Linked DNA regions of Oryzias latipes. The protein of the gene in region 2 interacts with the protein of the main gene of each other region in a biochemical or structural test. Links are inferred from orthologs where the notes say so. Each region holds a gene or a part of one and is shown on either strand. Other genes may lie near its edges. The genes, in order: ube2s, anapc2 and pttg1.

Region 1 (5,206 bases), on a different chromosome or scaffold from region 2:
AAAAAGTGGTTTAGAAAGTAGCAGCAGCGCGAACTATTGTCACGCCATTACAATGAAACGGAGCTCGTTACCTGCTGATAAAGCAAATCCACGTTTTATTGACGCTGGAGTCCGTCAGCTACATCCAGAAACCGGAAGCAGAGTCTTTGTCGTGTTGTTGTTCTACAAAAAACACGCCCCCATGCTTAAAGAGTCCCACAGAGCAACACCGAAACACGAATTTTCTTTTATTTACCAAGTACATATAGCACTAAATAAACGCAAAAAAATATTTCTGGTAGTCCGCGCGATTGTTTTTAATGTTTTTAAGCAGGTCAAAATAGCAATAATGTAAGCTTGCAACGTCATCTAGTGGCAGCTTTATTAATTTCAGTTGTGGCAGAGAGGAGGTGAAGACAGACTTTCAGATATTTTTTCTCTAAAAGAAAAACAATACACATTTATATTAAAAAATAAAACACGAAATATTTCATATGGATTATTGTCTTTCAACTTAAGAATTTTTTTGATGGAGAAATTACTTGTGATGATATTCATGAATGTTGATGATAATGTTACATTTTCCTAGAATGCAACATGTCTACTATATCTGTGATTGACTGGATAACATCATATTCAGTGAAAGCAAAACTGCTCTGAGCAGGAAATACTGTGTTCAATCCAAGAGATACAAGTTGATAGCCATTACAAAGGCAGCAAAATGTAAGATGAAACTCCATTGTTGAACCTTTCTGTTTTGAGTGAACACATTTCAGCCATACAGGACCAATGAAAGGAGAGATATTCATAGAACAATATTTAATAACAAATTAGATAATTTGAAGATGCCATGAGCACTCCATCAGTTATTTTTTAGTCTGATATTGTGTCAGATGTTGCTATTCTGAACCTTTTACAAATCTTTTAATGTATGTTATGTGTTGAATTTAGAACTGAAGTTGTTCTTTGTCAAAATTGTTGAATGTTAGTGTATCATGTTCTGATTTTTTTTAAAGTTATGTCTGTTGTCTCATTTACAGTGATTTCTGTTGAGCTTTGTAGAATGGTAATAAAAAGACCTTCTTATCCTCTCCTACCTTCCTTTTGAGATTAAAAAAAAACCCTGTTTTATCTACATTGTCTCTATCAATGTTGTGTCCAAATTGGTTACCATTCCCAGTTATATGTTTGATTTTTGCACAAGAGGTCCTGAGGACACTATTGGGTTATCTGTTTGTGTGCTATTTTGCATTTGGCGCTGTTTCTTCCTTCATAAATGCACAGGAAACTTTGAGATGTACAAAGACCTGCATAACATTTTTTAAAGATTTCTCACAGAACATAAGCCAGTTTTGAGTACAATGTTTCAAAATCAAATTGTGCAAAAACAAGCATTAGATCACAGCAATGCTAAAATAGCGTTCTATTGTCTGATAGTTGCGGGGTTTGTTTTTATGTTCATAGATATTTAGGACACACCACTAAATTATTGGTATTTGTATGATGGACAGTCATTTAATATTATTATTGGCCTACAATTTTTTTTGTTAGTCCAAAATCCTGCTCCAAAACCAGGAAAGCTGTCCTCAGGTTGAGGCACCATGTTTATTGAATGCCCTTATCCTGTCAGTGTCCCTGATTGACTCTGTTGTGTCCTTTTATAAAAAAGCTAACATGCATTTGTTTAGGAAAGGTTAAAAGTAATGAATGTGAGTGTATGTGGTTGTGTGGCTCAGACAGTCCAGGGTGTACCACACCTGGGGGTAGTTAGAATAGACTCCAACAACCGCCACAGGGAGTGTTTAGAAAATGCATAAAAAGGTGCTTCAGAAATACAGCTCACTTATTTGCTTAAACAATTATATTAAAATATAATTAGGAATATTTGTTTTAAATGTATTTTTCACGTTATAAAAATGCTCACTGCTATTGATTGAATTATATTAGCTAATCTAATATACCCGATATTCTTGATTGTGGTTTATTTCCTGTCAGTATCGATCGGTAGTTTGAGTTTTTCAAACGGGCCTATGGCTCACCAGCATCAGCTCTCTTTACACTCTGATTGGCTTATATATTTTTTCTATCATGACGTAATAGAAAATCTAGATTGTGATTGGTTAGGAACTTCATACGCGTCAACTTGCTAAGACGGCTATTGGTTAATATCAGCAGGTTAAATCGAGGATCGTATTTTTGTTCCTGTGTCAACGTTAAAGCGAAAAGGACAGTAATCAGGGTTTTTTTTGTGATTAAGTTTCTACAAAATACTTTTTCTCAAATAGTAGCAGAAAAAGCTTCGTTTTATCCCATTCCAGTAAACAACCATTCACCAAAAAGATCTCATTTTCGAAGATGGTAAGACAGATGACCGAGCGTATTGCTAACAGCTAAGGGGAGTTTTTGCTAGCTTGCTCCGGTGTTAGATCGTCAAAAACACCCTGGTTGTGGTTGATTTTCTTTCTTTTTTAAAAGTTGTTTTTTATTCGCGGAACCAAAACATGATTTTAAAAATAGTACGGAGTACTTTTAGCGTAATGATCGCGTTTTTACAGCCTTTAATCAACGCTAAGTTCGAGGCATTACCTCTTGCTAACCGTTAACGTAAAGTTATCTCCTTATTTCTGTATAATAATTAGTAAGAGTTGCAATTTTATATTTTATCAGTCATGATACGATCGTACCTTGATTTAATGTGCCTTTATATTACCTACAGTAAAACTTTTTTTCTTCTTTTCTTTAAGCTTGGCGACAAAAACTTTGAAACTCAATGTTGTATTTTTGTTCTAGCAGCATAGCATTCGTTTGAATATCCTCCTGACCCCCAGCAATGCAAATTTCTAACTGAAAATCTAGCATAAATGGCACAGTAGCATCCAGCTGTATTAAATCAACATAAATAAATGATAACTTTTATATAATGCAGGATTTTTTTTATCAATTGAACGTGCAGTTTAAATAGAAGTGCATTTTTATTGCTGCTTCTTAGGTGTTGCAGATGTGACATCCTTAAGTACATTCTCATGTGGTCAGCAATTTATATTTTCCGACAATGGCTTGCTTGGATTTATCTTTTCTAAATTATCTCATTTTATTATCTTTATATTTTATTGAAGAATCAGACTAAACGAGATTGATGAAAATTCTTTGTATCTTGTTTAATTTTAAGTTATATTTTTAGTGATTTCTTTGTATTTTTCTCTCGTTATCAAATCGGTTTCATTTCCAAAGCTTTTTACACATTTAAATGCCCATTTATGTGCCCTGTTCTGTTTTCCCATAGAACTCAAATGTTGAGAATTTGCCCCCTCATGTTCTGCGCTTGGTCTACAAAGAGGTATCAGCTTTAGCAGCAGATCCACCTGAAGGTATAAAGATTTATCCTAGTGAGGAAGACATAACTGAACTCCACACATCCATTGAAGGACCAGGTAAGGATTTTAGTGAGGCTCCATGGAAAGCTTAAACTAGATTTGCCATTTTTAGGCAGTATTTCCTAAAATAGGAAAGGACTACAGCATTTTACGTTATTAAAAATGTCATGTCTTGTACTGCACATTCTGCATTTAATTATAGATTTCATTTTGAAATGAGCCTTTTGCCATCTTTTTCTTGGACTTGTGGATAGATATAGCTCATTTCTGAAGGAAGAACTGATTTAAATTGGACGGATTGCATTGTTGATGCATCTATTTTTATCAGGGGCTTTTAAGCTTATGTTGAATGGAAATTCTTAAAAAGTGATAACGATGCAAGTCGTAGGAGTTTCAAAAATTCAACATTCCAAATAAAGATTGTAATCGTTTAAACAAAGAGCTATAACTCACAGCTTTTTTGAACAATTTTTAAAAATTGTTGCTATTGTTAAAGGTTTATCCCCATAATATTGGCATGCAGTTCAGTTCATGCATTAGAAGAAATATATAATTCAAAATCCGTTTTTAAATGCCAAACAGTTTAGCGCATGATTGCCATCTTGAGGCTGAGGCTACACATTACTTCGTGAAGGTAACCACAAATAATAACTATAAAATCCAAAGTTGTATGAACCCTTTGGGTTATTCTTGTTATTTTTTTATTTAAAAGAGCTGTGTGCTATTGTAAGAGTTCAGCTATCCAAAGTAAACCGTGAAGACAGTGAGGCAAGGATGTTTGTGAATTGTTTGTATTTTGTGAGAGAGGAAGTGCGTCTTAATATGCTGGGCATATTTTAAGCATAATCCAGCTTCAAAACGTAACCATTTAGCTTTTTTATTTTGTTCTCCTTTAGAGCTGAGCAGACGTGGATGAAGAACGGTTCCAGTTCTTTGGCATGTTTAGCCGTGCTCAATTGCAAAAATAGTGCAGATTTATCAAGGACTGATGTGCAAAAGCCTGTCATTTTAAAGAATTTTGATGTTTAGCACGTCTATGATTTCAAAGTTAGAGATTTGATTCAGCTTGAAAAAAATTCAGTCTGTGTATCCGCAGTTAAGACATACTGTTCATGCTATGAATTCTTTATACTTTGACAGAGGGAACTCCATTTGCTGGTGGCATTTTCCGAATGCGTCTGGTCCTCGGGAAGGACTTCCCTGCTGTTCCACCCAAGGGGTATTTCTTGACCAAGATTTTTCATCCCAACGTCGGCCACAAAGGAGAAATCTGTGTGAATGTGCTGAAGAGGGACTGGAAGGCAGAGCTCGGGCTCAGACACATCTTACTTGTAAGAGTTCCACCATCGGCTATCTTTCCCCTGAGTGTGATGTATGTGGTCCGTCAACGATTTTCTCTTTGTGACGGCAGACCATCAAGTGTCTTCTAATCCATCCAAACCCGGAGTCGGCTCTGAACGAGGAGGCCGGGCGCTTGTTGTTGGAGGACTATGCAGAGTACGAGTCCCGAGCCCGCCTCCTCACAGAAATCCACGCTATGGGCGGTACGTCGGGGGCACCTCAGGATCCGAATGACGGCCCTCAGCCAAAAAAGCACGCGGGCGACCCTACAAAGAGAGCAGGACCCAGTGTACCAGCAGGTCTGGGTAACAGTGCCAATGGAGCCAGCAGCAATAGCAACAGTAGCAGCAACATCAATAATGTAGTGAAAAAGAAAGCCGATAAGAAGCGCGCATTGAGACGACTTTAATACCTCAGTGAAACTTTCTGTGTGTCTGAGTGAGTGAATGAATTAAAGGAAGTGTAAATATAAATATTGAAGTGTGCTGACAGAACCATTTTGTTCACATTTT
Region 2 (5,058 bases):
TTCCTCACCCGTCCTGCTTCCGGTCCACCTGCAGGTCCTCCAGGTAAATGGACTGCAGCACCTCGATCTCCGACTGAACACTGCGGACACAGAACAGCTGATTGGAGACAGTGTTTACTGTTTCATAAGCAGCTGTTCGTTAGCTTTCCTTTAGCTAACTGTCCCGTTTCTGACAAACGGGACAAACGTGACTCAGATTAAAGAGCGGATTATGTGAGGCGACATTAAATAATCTCTGTTTGATTTTTTTTAAAGTCGTTTAAAGACAAATCACAGGAACTGTTGAGACACTCACTCGCTCTCCACGGCCATCATGTTTCTGCTGCCGACTAGCGGAAGTTACGTCATTTATCTGACTTTCAGAACAAAAGCACGCTTTTATTTTTATATTTTTTATTTTTTCACAGTGAGAAAAATGGTAAAAAACAATTTGATATACAACGATTATGTTGTTTGTGTGACATCACATTAATGCTGATATTTTAAAACAAGTGAGACTTAGATTTTTATGCTCCGGGGGTTAACTACAGCCTCCTCTTTCAGGTTAAGTTAAAATAGAAGTATAGATTTTTTTCAACATTTACATTTAAAATATGAAATCCTAATGTCATATTGGAAATAGCTCAGTACAACGTTTAAGGAAGTAAATGCTGTTTGTCGGCAGATAATTTTTGTTTTTTCTTTAAACGAACAAAACAGTTTTGATGTTGGTGCAACAGCAAGGATATGTTAATTAAAGCAAACACAGTTAATAATAAGACAGATTATGTTTAACCACTAATCCGTCTGTCTATAGGGAAAACTTAGATAAGATGTTTGCAAACTTAATTAGAATTTTTTTTTAAACAGGGTAATTGGTTCCTGCTAAACCAAATTACCGGTAAAAAAATTACAGTTTATTTAGAAATTAATTGTTTATTTTAACATTTAAACTTATATTTTATTCAGTAAAGAAAATGCAGAGACATTTTCAAAAACGTGAAAATAAATAGTTTCCGTGAAAATACATAGTGGATGTAACTTGTCTTGCAGTTCACCAGTTTGTCCACAAGAGGGCGATAAGGATTTTGACTGTGATCACATTTTGTGTGTTTTTCCATTATAAATCATTGTTCTGTTGTATCTGTTTGCCCACTGAGGCAGATATCATGTCATAACCCATCCTCACACGTAAAAACATTTTTGATCGGGTAAAATTTGATTTTTTTAAGTTTTTCAACAAGATAATCATTTTTTCTGAGTTATTAATTTAATTGTATTTATTTCGTAAATACTTTAGTAAATGTTACAATTTTGATAAGATAAGATAAATATGCTTTTTTATTACAACCTGAGACATTTAATTTTGAATAAATTAATTTGATCGATGTTGATTATTTTACATAAAGATTAACTTAATTTGGTAAATAATTTTTCTCCAGCTCTTAGTTGCTGTTACAAACATTACGTGTTGCAGTTTTCCACTCTGTCCACACGAGGGCAGTAGTTGTTCACAAAAATGCAAAATGCAAAACAGACTTCTTTTAAATACTTTTGACTACTTTTTTTTACAACTTTTAAATTTTTTGCACGTACATCATGCAAACAACTAAAACAACGAAGAAAAAACAGAACGATGCGCATTAACAACTGTAGGTGGCAGCACTGCCATCTTTCAGCGCTAAATACAGTAGAAGAAGTCAAAGAAGATCTGAACCCGCCATTCAGTAGGAGGGGTCACGTGGTTTTGTTTTGTTAATAAATAGTATCTTTTTCTTTGTATATTACTGTGTTTTTGGAGAAATAATGTGTATTTGTACCTTCAACTAAACCTCTTAAAACCGGCACGCGCCTGTTTGGACTTCCGCCCGGTTTGTTAATTGAGGAGAAAAACCCATAAAATGGAGGAAATGATGGAAGACTCGGAGTCTGTGGAAATGTCTGGACCCGAACCGGTCCAGGGTGTCGCGGCTGCATGGGATTCGGTCTCTGCGGCTCTGGTGAGTGGACCCGAACCCCGAACCTCAGTGTCGGAGTCCAACCATGAGTGAGACGTCAGTTTATCGAGGTTATTCACGTCTCCAAATCTGGTGGTAGTTCACTTTGATGAATCTCACACATTTAAAACAATCTGTGGATCATTATCAGACTCATTAGACTGCATCTATATGCGTGATATTTTCATTTGTATATCAGTCACAGATGAAGCTTTGAAGGCGTTTTTAAATCTGCTCCTCCTTTCAAACACACCTGAGTTTAGAAAAAACTGGTTCAAAGTTCTTCATTGCTGTGTTTGAACTAAAAGTAAAAGCCAATCCGAGCCCAGGATCTGCTCTGGCATCAGCACGTACAGCAGCTTCTGGACGGATGCTGAGGCTCTGCGTTGGGTTCTCTTGCAGGTGTCTCCTGGCTTCTCGGTGTCGGATCAGAACCTCGTGGACGGCCTGGCTCTGCTCTGCCGTCGGGGTCTGGCTCCTCTTCTCGGGGTGTGGCTGCTGGAGACCTTGCAGATGCGTTTGTCGTCCTCCGTGGTTCCAGAGTTCTGGTGTGGACTGAAGCAGCCGGAGAACGAGCTGGAGGAGAGGGGCCGGGCCTGGGTTCTCCTCACCGCCTTCAGGACTCTGCTGGACCGCCTGGAACCCTTCCTGAGTAAGACCCAGACACCGGGGGGTCCACTGCTGTCGGACATTTCTGACACGTCTGCTCCTTAGGTGGTTTGGAGAAGCTGGGGGCGTGGCAGCAGGAGGGCCGCTGTGGTCTGAGCGGGCCGGGACCCAAAGGGCTCAAGGAGCAGGCCTTCACGACCATCAGAGCGCTCCTGCTCTTCTCGCCATCTCCTGTCCTGCAGGAGCGTGTGCTGGAGTTCTACAGCCGGACCTTCTCTGTTTACATGAAGCAGGAGGGGAACGCCGAGGATGGGGCAGAGGCTCCGGATGGTTCTGAGGGAGGGGCCTGTCCGGGCTGTGGGGTCCCGCTTCACCAGTGCTGGTGTCTGGAGGCCCTGGAGCAGCTGCAGCAGCTCAGCCACATCCTGTGAGAACCAGAGCGAAGCTCCTTGCAGCTCCTGTGGTCTGTCAGAGTCTGACCTGCTGTTTGTGGCTGCAGGTCCAAACTGCAGCTGCTGGACTGGGTCAGCTCAGAGGCCGTCACCTCCATCCTCCACAAGCTCATCGAGCAGCGGATGGAGCAGCACTGCCGCGGCGAGTACGAGCGCTCCTTCCTGCTGAACTTCCAGGAGGTGAGGCATCCGTTGTAGCAGCTCCCTGGTCGGCTCCGTCTGAACCTTTCCGCCTTGCAGTGGTTGGAGCTGGTGCTCGGCTGGCTGGGGAAAGTCTTTGCCTGTGAGGGGTCGGGAGACGGTCCGGCACCAGCATCTTTGGCCAGTCCGGTCATGAAGCAGTGGAGGTGCCACATGCACCAGTTCTTCTGCAGGATCTACGTCAACATGAGGATCGAGGAGCTCTTCAGCATCATCAGAGGTGACTCTCACCAACCCGACGGAGTTTTTTTTTTGTTTGTTTTTGTCTAACATCTTTGCTCCATATCTCGTGCAGATTTCCCAGAATCCAAAGCTGCGATTGAGGATCTCAAGTTTTGCCTGGAGAGAACTAACCAGCGACAGCAGCTCCTCACTTCCCTGAAATCTGCCTTCGAAAGCCGTTTGCTGCACCCGGGTAAGTAACCGAGTGGTTTGGTAACCGAGTGGTTTGGTAACCGAGTGGTTTGGTAACCGAGCAGCAGGTCTGTATGTAGCTAAGCAGGGAGTAGATGTCAGCGGCGGGCCGGTACCACAGAAGCCGGTCGTTATCAGCAGGTCGTCGGTACCCAAGATGCCGGTTTCTACCTGAGCGGCGGCTTAGCAGCAGTGAGGGGAAATAAAACCTGTAGCTCAGTGGGTGTAAAGTTCTGTCACGACTCTCCAGAACCTGTGGAGGACCGACTGTCCTGTTGGATCCTCCAAAGGTTTCCTGATTCTGTTGAATGCTTTTCTCTTAAAAATAATCCTCATCCTCAACTTGTGTGCAGGAGTTCACACCTCTGACATCCTCACCGTTTACATCTCAGCCATCAAAGCCCTCAGAGAGCTGGACCCGTCCATGGTCATCCTGCAGGTTGCCTGTCAGCCAATCAGAAAGTACCTCAGGTGAGTTTGCGTGTCTGCGGTCTGACAGGCGGTTTCAGGAAACCCGCTTCAGTTAGAAATGTGTTCATTGAACCGTCTAAACCGCAGCGCTGCCTCTTGCTGTTCAGGACTCGGGAGGACACGGTGCGGCAGATCGTGGCGGGTCTGACCGGAGATGCGGAGGGCTGCACCGACCTGGCCTCCGAGCTGTCCCGCGGAGACCCGGTGACGCTGGAGATGCAGGACAGCGACGACGAAGGCACCGACCCGGAGGACTGGACCCCGGACCCGACGGACGCCGTGCCCGGTCGGTGATGGCGTGGTGCGACGGTAGTCGCTCCGCTGCGGCCCTTCGGCTCACCTCTGACCCTTCTGCAGATAAGCTGGGCTCCAAGCGGCGCTCCTCAGACATCATCAGCCTGCTGGTCAGCATCTACGGCAGCAAGGACATCTTCATCGACGAGTACAGAGGCGTCCTGGCCGACCGCCTGCTGCAGCAGCTCAACTACAACACCGCCAGGTCTGATCACCTCCGTCATCCGTTCATTTTCTTCTTCACATTCGTCATTTTGGACTCTGCTCTGTTCCAGGGAGATCCGGAACGTGGAGCTGCTGAAGCTTCGCTTCGGAGAGTCTCACATGCACTACTGCGAGGTCATGCTGAAGGTAACCCCCACACTCGGCAGCTGGACTCTCCTCCGCCAGGAGCTGCAGTTTGATGCGGCGCTCCTCTGCAGGACATGGCGGACTCCCGCAGGATCAACGGCAACATCCGGGAGGAGGAGTCGCGGCTGAGCGAAGACGAGCAGCCGCCGCTGCCTCTGTCCGCCATCATCCTGTCCTCTGAGTTCTGGCCGACGCTGAAGGAGGAGAAGCTGGAGCTGCCCCCCGTCGTGTGCCGGGCCATGGAGGCCTACACCCACAGATACGAGAAACTGAAGGTGGAGTCCAGCTGT
Region 3 (5,274 bases), on a different chromosome or scaffold from region 2:
TAAACTTAGCACTTTGAGTTGACAGAAACCTAAAGCAATAGTAAGAAAACCAGAGGATGTAGACTTTAAAACGTCAGGATATAAAGCGTTATTGGCTGCTGAGGAACTAAATGGTAAATCGTGATGTCAATTTGCAGGCATTACTGCCTTCCAAACGTTTAAAATGTGTTTAATTTATTCAGAAAGAATTATTTAGTTTTATACTAAAAACTTTGAATTTTAATTGTAGAATGGTTGCACTGATGTGAGGATTTTATCTATAAGTTAAAATAAAAGTGCAAAAAGGCCTAAAAATCACATTGGAAGTTAAATTTGACTCAAAGCAACATTTAAATTACACAACACAAACATTTTTCAACCACTTGTAGATTCCCTTACAGGAGCAAATAGTTGAAACCGTTTAGTCTGCTGTGCATCATGTGAACTATTGGTTTTAGGCTGATTGCACCTCTATGCGCTCTGCTTTCTGGACCAGAATAGCTCGGAAGACAAAGCTATAAAGCACTGTTGTTGCATATTTGGGAGGGTAGCTGGCAGATTGCTCGAGAGTCTCACATTGAGAGCCAATGTCTGCATTCAGGAAAAGCAAAGAATGTACATTGCATGCCAAAAGCAAGAGCTCTCCACAAGCTAAAATGAACACAAGCAGCCATTATGTGGCTGAACATAACACAGTGTTGTCCAATACGGTGATGGCTTTAAAGGAGGGAAAAGAAAAACTCTGAGAAGTCATTTTAAAATAACTGTGCAAGCTGGTGGTACTTGGAAGCGGCAGATTGTTTTAAAGGGGCTGAATTGGGGTCAAATAGCTGAAGGTGTGAAGGAAATGAGAGACTAAACACTTTATAAATCGCAGGCATCTTCTCTCAACATAATCTGCTTCATTCATTGGAGCCACAAAGGGATATAAAACTGGACAACCTTGCTATTCTAAGCACTCCCTCTGGACTAAGTGGTTTCCTTTCTCCCTTAAAAAAAAGAGCAGCACACTTTGTCCTAGCATAGCTTTAAAACCGCTTGTTTATATGCATTACTACTAAGTAATAGTAACCAAGAAATATTGTTTACTTTTAGACAACGCCCGTTGAAAGTTAACGGGATTTACATGACAGAACAGAACGGAAATGAACACTGAAGCTGAGCTGAAATGGGGGCGTTCAGAATGAATGGCCTACGGGGGGATTTGTATTGATTAAACCTTTTAAATATACGACATTTTTGTTACGACGGCAATGAAAAACTAATAATTCTACCAGGCGCAGTTTCGTTAATGAGATAATTAAGCTAGCTGTAACCAGCATGGAGATAAAGGCGTTGTTCTCGATTAAGAATACAATACAAAAGCTAAGACCAGGTACTCCTATCTACAATTTTACAAAGGCACAGCTCTAAATGAATATCCAAAGCATATTTGGGGTGTTTTGGTCAATACAGTGACATTACACTGGTTTAGCTATGATGCCGCGAATTTCTGAAAGGCACAAAAAATGCGGGGAGTTCCTTATTAACACCTAATTCCATCTAACATATCCTTGACGCACATTAAACGTAAAACTAATTCATATTTAGGCTGATGGATGCGTTTAAAAGTAAAACAGAAGACTTACAGCTTGCCTTGCTATCTCGGTCGAAGCCATGATGCTTTCTGTTAGCTCTCCCTCAACTGTCCTCTTTCAGCAGCCCTGCTGAACAGTTAACGTTCCTCAGAAAGATGGCCTGTTTGGAATGTACCATTGAATCTACGGAGTTAATCATGTAGAGAACACGTAGCTTTGCTTTTGCGTCTTGATTACAACAATAGGTACTAGGGAAAAAAAGACATATAACTGCAGTTTATCTTTAAGACGGATTTATTTATAGAAAAATAAACACATAAGATAAAGAAAGATGGTGCAGACATGGTTTCGTCCGATAGAACGCTAGTAAATGGAAGTCAGCAAGCAATAAAAAAATAAAATAAAAGGGGAATAATTAGCATGAATAATTATCCAGTTTATGAATATGGGCAATTTTTGTTAGTTTGGTATTGACTAAATGATTATTTTTTTTCGATAATATGCCCAATTCTGTTCATACAACGCTTTGAAATGAGACACGGGTGAAATTAATTCATGCCAGTCACGTGGGGTACAACGACCAATCATAATCACTGCCCAACGACAGTCACGAGGGCTACAACGACCAATGGAATGAAGTGAACGGATTTAAAAACAAAGGTGCGGAAGCTGTTGTAGCTAGATAAAAAACAAAAAGCAGGATAAAGACGATAAAGCCTTCGGATTGAGACCAAGAACTATTGTTCTTTGAGGTTACTAACACTAAGGTAAATAGACGTGAAAGTAACCGTTGGTTTATCATTCCAAGATTTTACGTAAATGGGCAATTTTTTTTAAACCGTACGTTGCACGACAAACTGCTAACGATAATTTTTAAACCGTACGTAACGTTGCATGACAAACAAAGTTAACCGCTAACAATAATGTAGCATTGGACAAATCTCTGCTGTTTACATTATTGTCAGTAAATGTAAATAAATATTTGTTGTCTGAACTAAATTATTCTGAACTTAATCATTTTCCAAATGGGAAATGTATCCATTATTTTGTAAATAATTGCATAGTTGTTAGATGAAAACAAAATGTCTACTTTAGCTTAGTTTAGTTTTGGGCCTGACAATACATAATCTTCTTCTTAATGCTAAACATCAGCACCAATTAGCAGAAAGCCTTTTTGATGTAAAAAAAAAATAAATAAATCCGTAATTGAACCTCAAAATGCCTGAATTGTGGGGAAACAAAATGAGAATAGCCAACTCTGTTAGTCTACTTATGAATTTCAAAGTGCACCTTTTTTTTCCCCCTTTTCTTTCAATAAATTAAGTTATATTTTTATGAATTTGTGTATATAAAACCCCATTTAAAGTAATTGAAAGTTTTTTGAAACCAAATGTTTTTCTTTTTTTACCTTTTAGCCAAGATGGCAAATGTCATCTTCACCGAACAGGAGAATGTTTGCCTCCGTCCCTCTTCCCTGAAAATGCGTCAGAGGCTTCTGTCTGCTCCAGGTATTAAAAACATGTTCAACTGTTTCAGATTATCTTTGTGGAACTCTGCATGATCCTCCTTTTTATTCTCGCTCTCTATAACCAGAAAAACAGTTGAAGTCTCCAATGTTGGTCAAAAATACCCCTGTCCATTCAGCGCGTAAGGCTTTTGGGGTGGTGAACAAAAAGATCTTAACCCCTTCTTTGAGTACACAAGAGAAAAAAGTTTTAAAACCACAGGTAAAAATAAACACTAATGACAAATGGATTTATTTCAGCAAAAGGCTATTCTGTTGTTTCTGTGTGTCCATATTGCCCTTCTTCTCAATAGGAAGTCAAGGTCGAGCATCCTTCTGAAGCCAAAGGGGAGGAATACCCAAAAATGGAAAATTTTATTCCTTACAACCCTCTAGGTAATGTCATGTTTGTTTGGTTTGCAGGCAAATTATGCTTTTAAGAGGTTTTTTTTTTTTTTTTTTAAACCAAGATGTTTAGTAGTTCCACATTTCCGCTGGTCGTGCTGCAGCTGTATGCCATCTGAAAGTCTTTACTGCTAATGTCACATCATTTCATAGCCACCATGTTTACAATATCCACTCTTATCACTGAGCATAATCAACGGGCACAGCGTCTTTCTGCTCATGAGTGGTGGTTGTTCAAGTAAAAGCAACAAAATGTAATGATGTGAAAGAATTGGAAGTGGCTCAGTGGCCTTGTGGTAGTGTCCACTGTGTTAAACGGCTCCCATGTGTGGCTGTGTCTTTTCTGACTTCTTTGGTTTTAAAGGGGCTTATTCACAGTCTGGGAAATTTTTCACCCATTCCTGAGTTTCTTCATATTTTCAGAGTTTGAGAAGTACAGCATACCCGAGGACTTCATTCCTTTCAGTGGCCTGGCTCTACCCGGATTGGCCTGTTTTACCTCGCCTCTTCTTGAGGAAGACCTGGAAAAGATTCAGCCTCTCCCAGACCCTTCACCTGCAAAAGGGTGCAGATTTCCAGGTATGGTTCTCCTTTATACGTCTGATAAATCTCCTATTTTCAGGAGCTTACAGAGGAAATCACTCTGTTGCAACAAAGGGAAATGCAACAGAACGCCACATGGTGCTTTAAATAAGTAATAAATACTAGGAAAAAGTAATCGTGTCATGTTTTTCAAAATTAGACAGAAAATATTTTAACTTTGAGGTTTGCTTTACTGTTAAAACAAAAAACTTCAAACCATTTGTACACAGATCTAGTAACTTTGGAGTCAACATGTTCGTTTTTTTTCTCTTTTCTTTTGGGGATACAAAATAAACTAGTTTGAATTTTCATTTACTCAGCTCTGTTGCAAAGAACCTGTTTGGCTCCTCAGTGCCCTTGGGGAAACACAGACTGGATTCTTGTCGAATGATCCCAAACTGTAACGTAATAGGAAAGCTTTCCCCCTAAACTACAATGCTGTTCCCTGTTACCTGTTAATCCTTTTAGTGTTGAACAGTTCAAACTATGATCAGACCTGTAGGTTACTCATTAACTGAATCATGTGACTTCCAACAAATGCCACTTGTTATGGCTGTTATTGTTGGAAAGTGTGCCTGTTGGCAGGAAAGCCTTCATAAACTCCTCTTCATTTTCCTTTTTAGATCACAGCTTGGAGCTGGATGCCTTCCTACAAACCCTTGAAGAGCTGACTGTTGAATTCCCCCCAGAACCGCTTACTGACTGCTGATGCCTGTTTGTTAAATGGCTGTTTTTATTATTTGTGTTGAAATAAAGTTTTCTTGGCAACATCTGTGGTCCAGAGTGTGTGTGTGTGTGTGATGGAATGGCTGCAAAAGTGTCAGGGGAGTGAACCTGAACTACTTCCTGCTTTAAACTCCAGCTGTGGTCACGTGTTGGGAGTCTTCTGAAGAGGATCTGCTTCATTAGAATGAACTTTTTCAGTTCCCCTTTCAGAGGAAAGATTTCCAGTCTTTGCTCGGAGTGGAAACTACACGGTGGACCTAAATTGCGCCTAAAGACCACCCATCCGCTTTTGCGGGAGTGGAATGCGGTGTGATTGCGGTATAGGAGCAGGTGAGTGAACTTTGCTGTGTCGCTATTTGGATTCTGTGAACGCGTGCATTCAGAATGAGGACCTGTCGAGCAGGTTTTGGACGCCCTCATGTTTACTTTTTGCGTCCTAACAGGATCCGGATCCCATCACTTTGTAATCGGACATCTTCAGGGTGTTGTCTGGGAGGAAGT

Evidence for each region.
Region 1: the proteins of anapc2 (region 2) and ube2s form a complex in vitro, tested with the Homo sapiens proteins (3 studies listed by BioGRID and IntAct). The link is inferred for Oryzias latipes from reciprocal best matches to the Homo sapiens genes ANAPC2 and UBE2S.
Region 3: the proteins of anapc2 (region 2) and pttg1 form a complex in vitro, tested with the Homo sapiens proteins (2 studies listed by BioGRID, with this or other methods). The link is inferred for Oryzias latipes from reciprocal best matches to the Homo sapiens genes ANAPC2 and PTTG1.

What each region holds. Positions count from the first base shown.
Region 1 is NC_019874.2:19,502,851-19,508,056, forward strand, and holds the start of ube2s (ubiquitin-conjugating enzyme E2 S), read left to right. Parts: upstream 1-2,135; 5' UTR 2,136-2,334; coding exon 2,335-2,337; intron 2,338-3,262; coding exon 3,263-3,410; intron 3,411-4,493; coding exon 4,494-4,684; intron 4,685-4,764; coding exon 4,765-5,103; 3' UTR 5,104-5,206. UniProt on the Homo sapiens protein: Accepts ubiquitin from the E1 complex and catalyzes its covalent attachment to other proteins. Catalyzes 'Lys-11'-linked polyubiquitination.
Region 2 is NC_019866.2:2,381,815-2,386,872, reverse strand, and holds the start of anapc2 (anaphase-promoting complex subunit 2), read left to right. Parts: upstream 1-1,671; 5' UTR 1,672-1,880; coding exon 1,881-1,979; intron 1,980-2,378; coding exon 2,379-2,628; intron 2,629-2,690; coding exon 2,691-3,012; intron 3,013-3,084; coding exon 3,085-3,217; intron 3,218-3,277; coding exon 3,278-3,458; intron 3,459-3,533; coding exon 3,534-3,653; intron 3,654-4,005; coding exon 4,006-4,123; intron 4,124-4,230; coding exon 4,231-4,409; intron 4,410-4,480; coding exon 4,481-4,622; intron 4,623-4,692; coding exon 4,693-4,768; intron 4,769-4,839; coding exon 4,840-5,043; intron 5,044-5,058. Other genes in the region: E3 ubiquitin-protein ligase RNF25, read right to left, coding at 9-80, 296-315. UniProt on the Homo sapiens protein: Together with the RING-H2 protein ANAPC11, constitutes the catalytic component of the anaphase promoting complex/cyclosome (APC/C), a cell cycle-regulated E3 ubiquitin ligase that controls progression through mitosis and the G1 phase of the cell cycle.
Region 3 is NC_019868.2:9,721,022-9,726,295, forward strand, and holds pttg1 (securin), read left to right. Parts: upstream 1-2,153; 5' UTR 2,154-2,216; exon of another isoform or gene 2,217-2,323; intron 2,324-2,971; 5' UTR 2,972-2,976; coding exon 2,977-3,064; intron 3,065-3,149; coding exon 3,150-3,283; intron 3,284-3,374; coding exon 3,375-3,456; intron 3,457-3,888; coding exon 3,889-4,044; intron 4,045-4,670; coding exon 4,671-4,756; 3' UTR 4,757-4,817; downstream 4,818-5,274. Other genes in the region: sept6 (septin-6), read right to left, coding at 1,608-1,637; ankyrin repeat domain-containing protein SOWAHD, read left to right, coding at 5,076-5,103, 5,217-5,274. UniProt on the Homo sapiens protein: Regulatory protein, which plays a central role in chromosome stability, in the p53/TP53 pathway, and DNA repair. Probably acts by blocking the action of key proteins.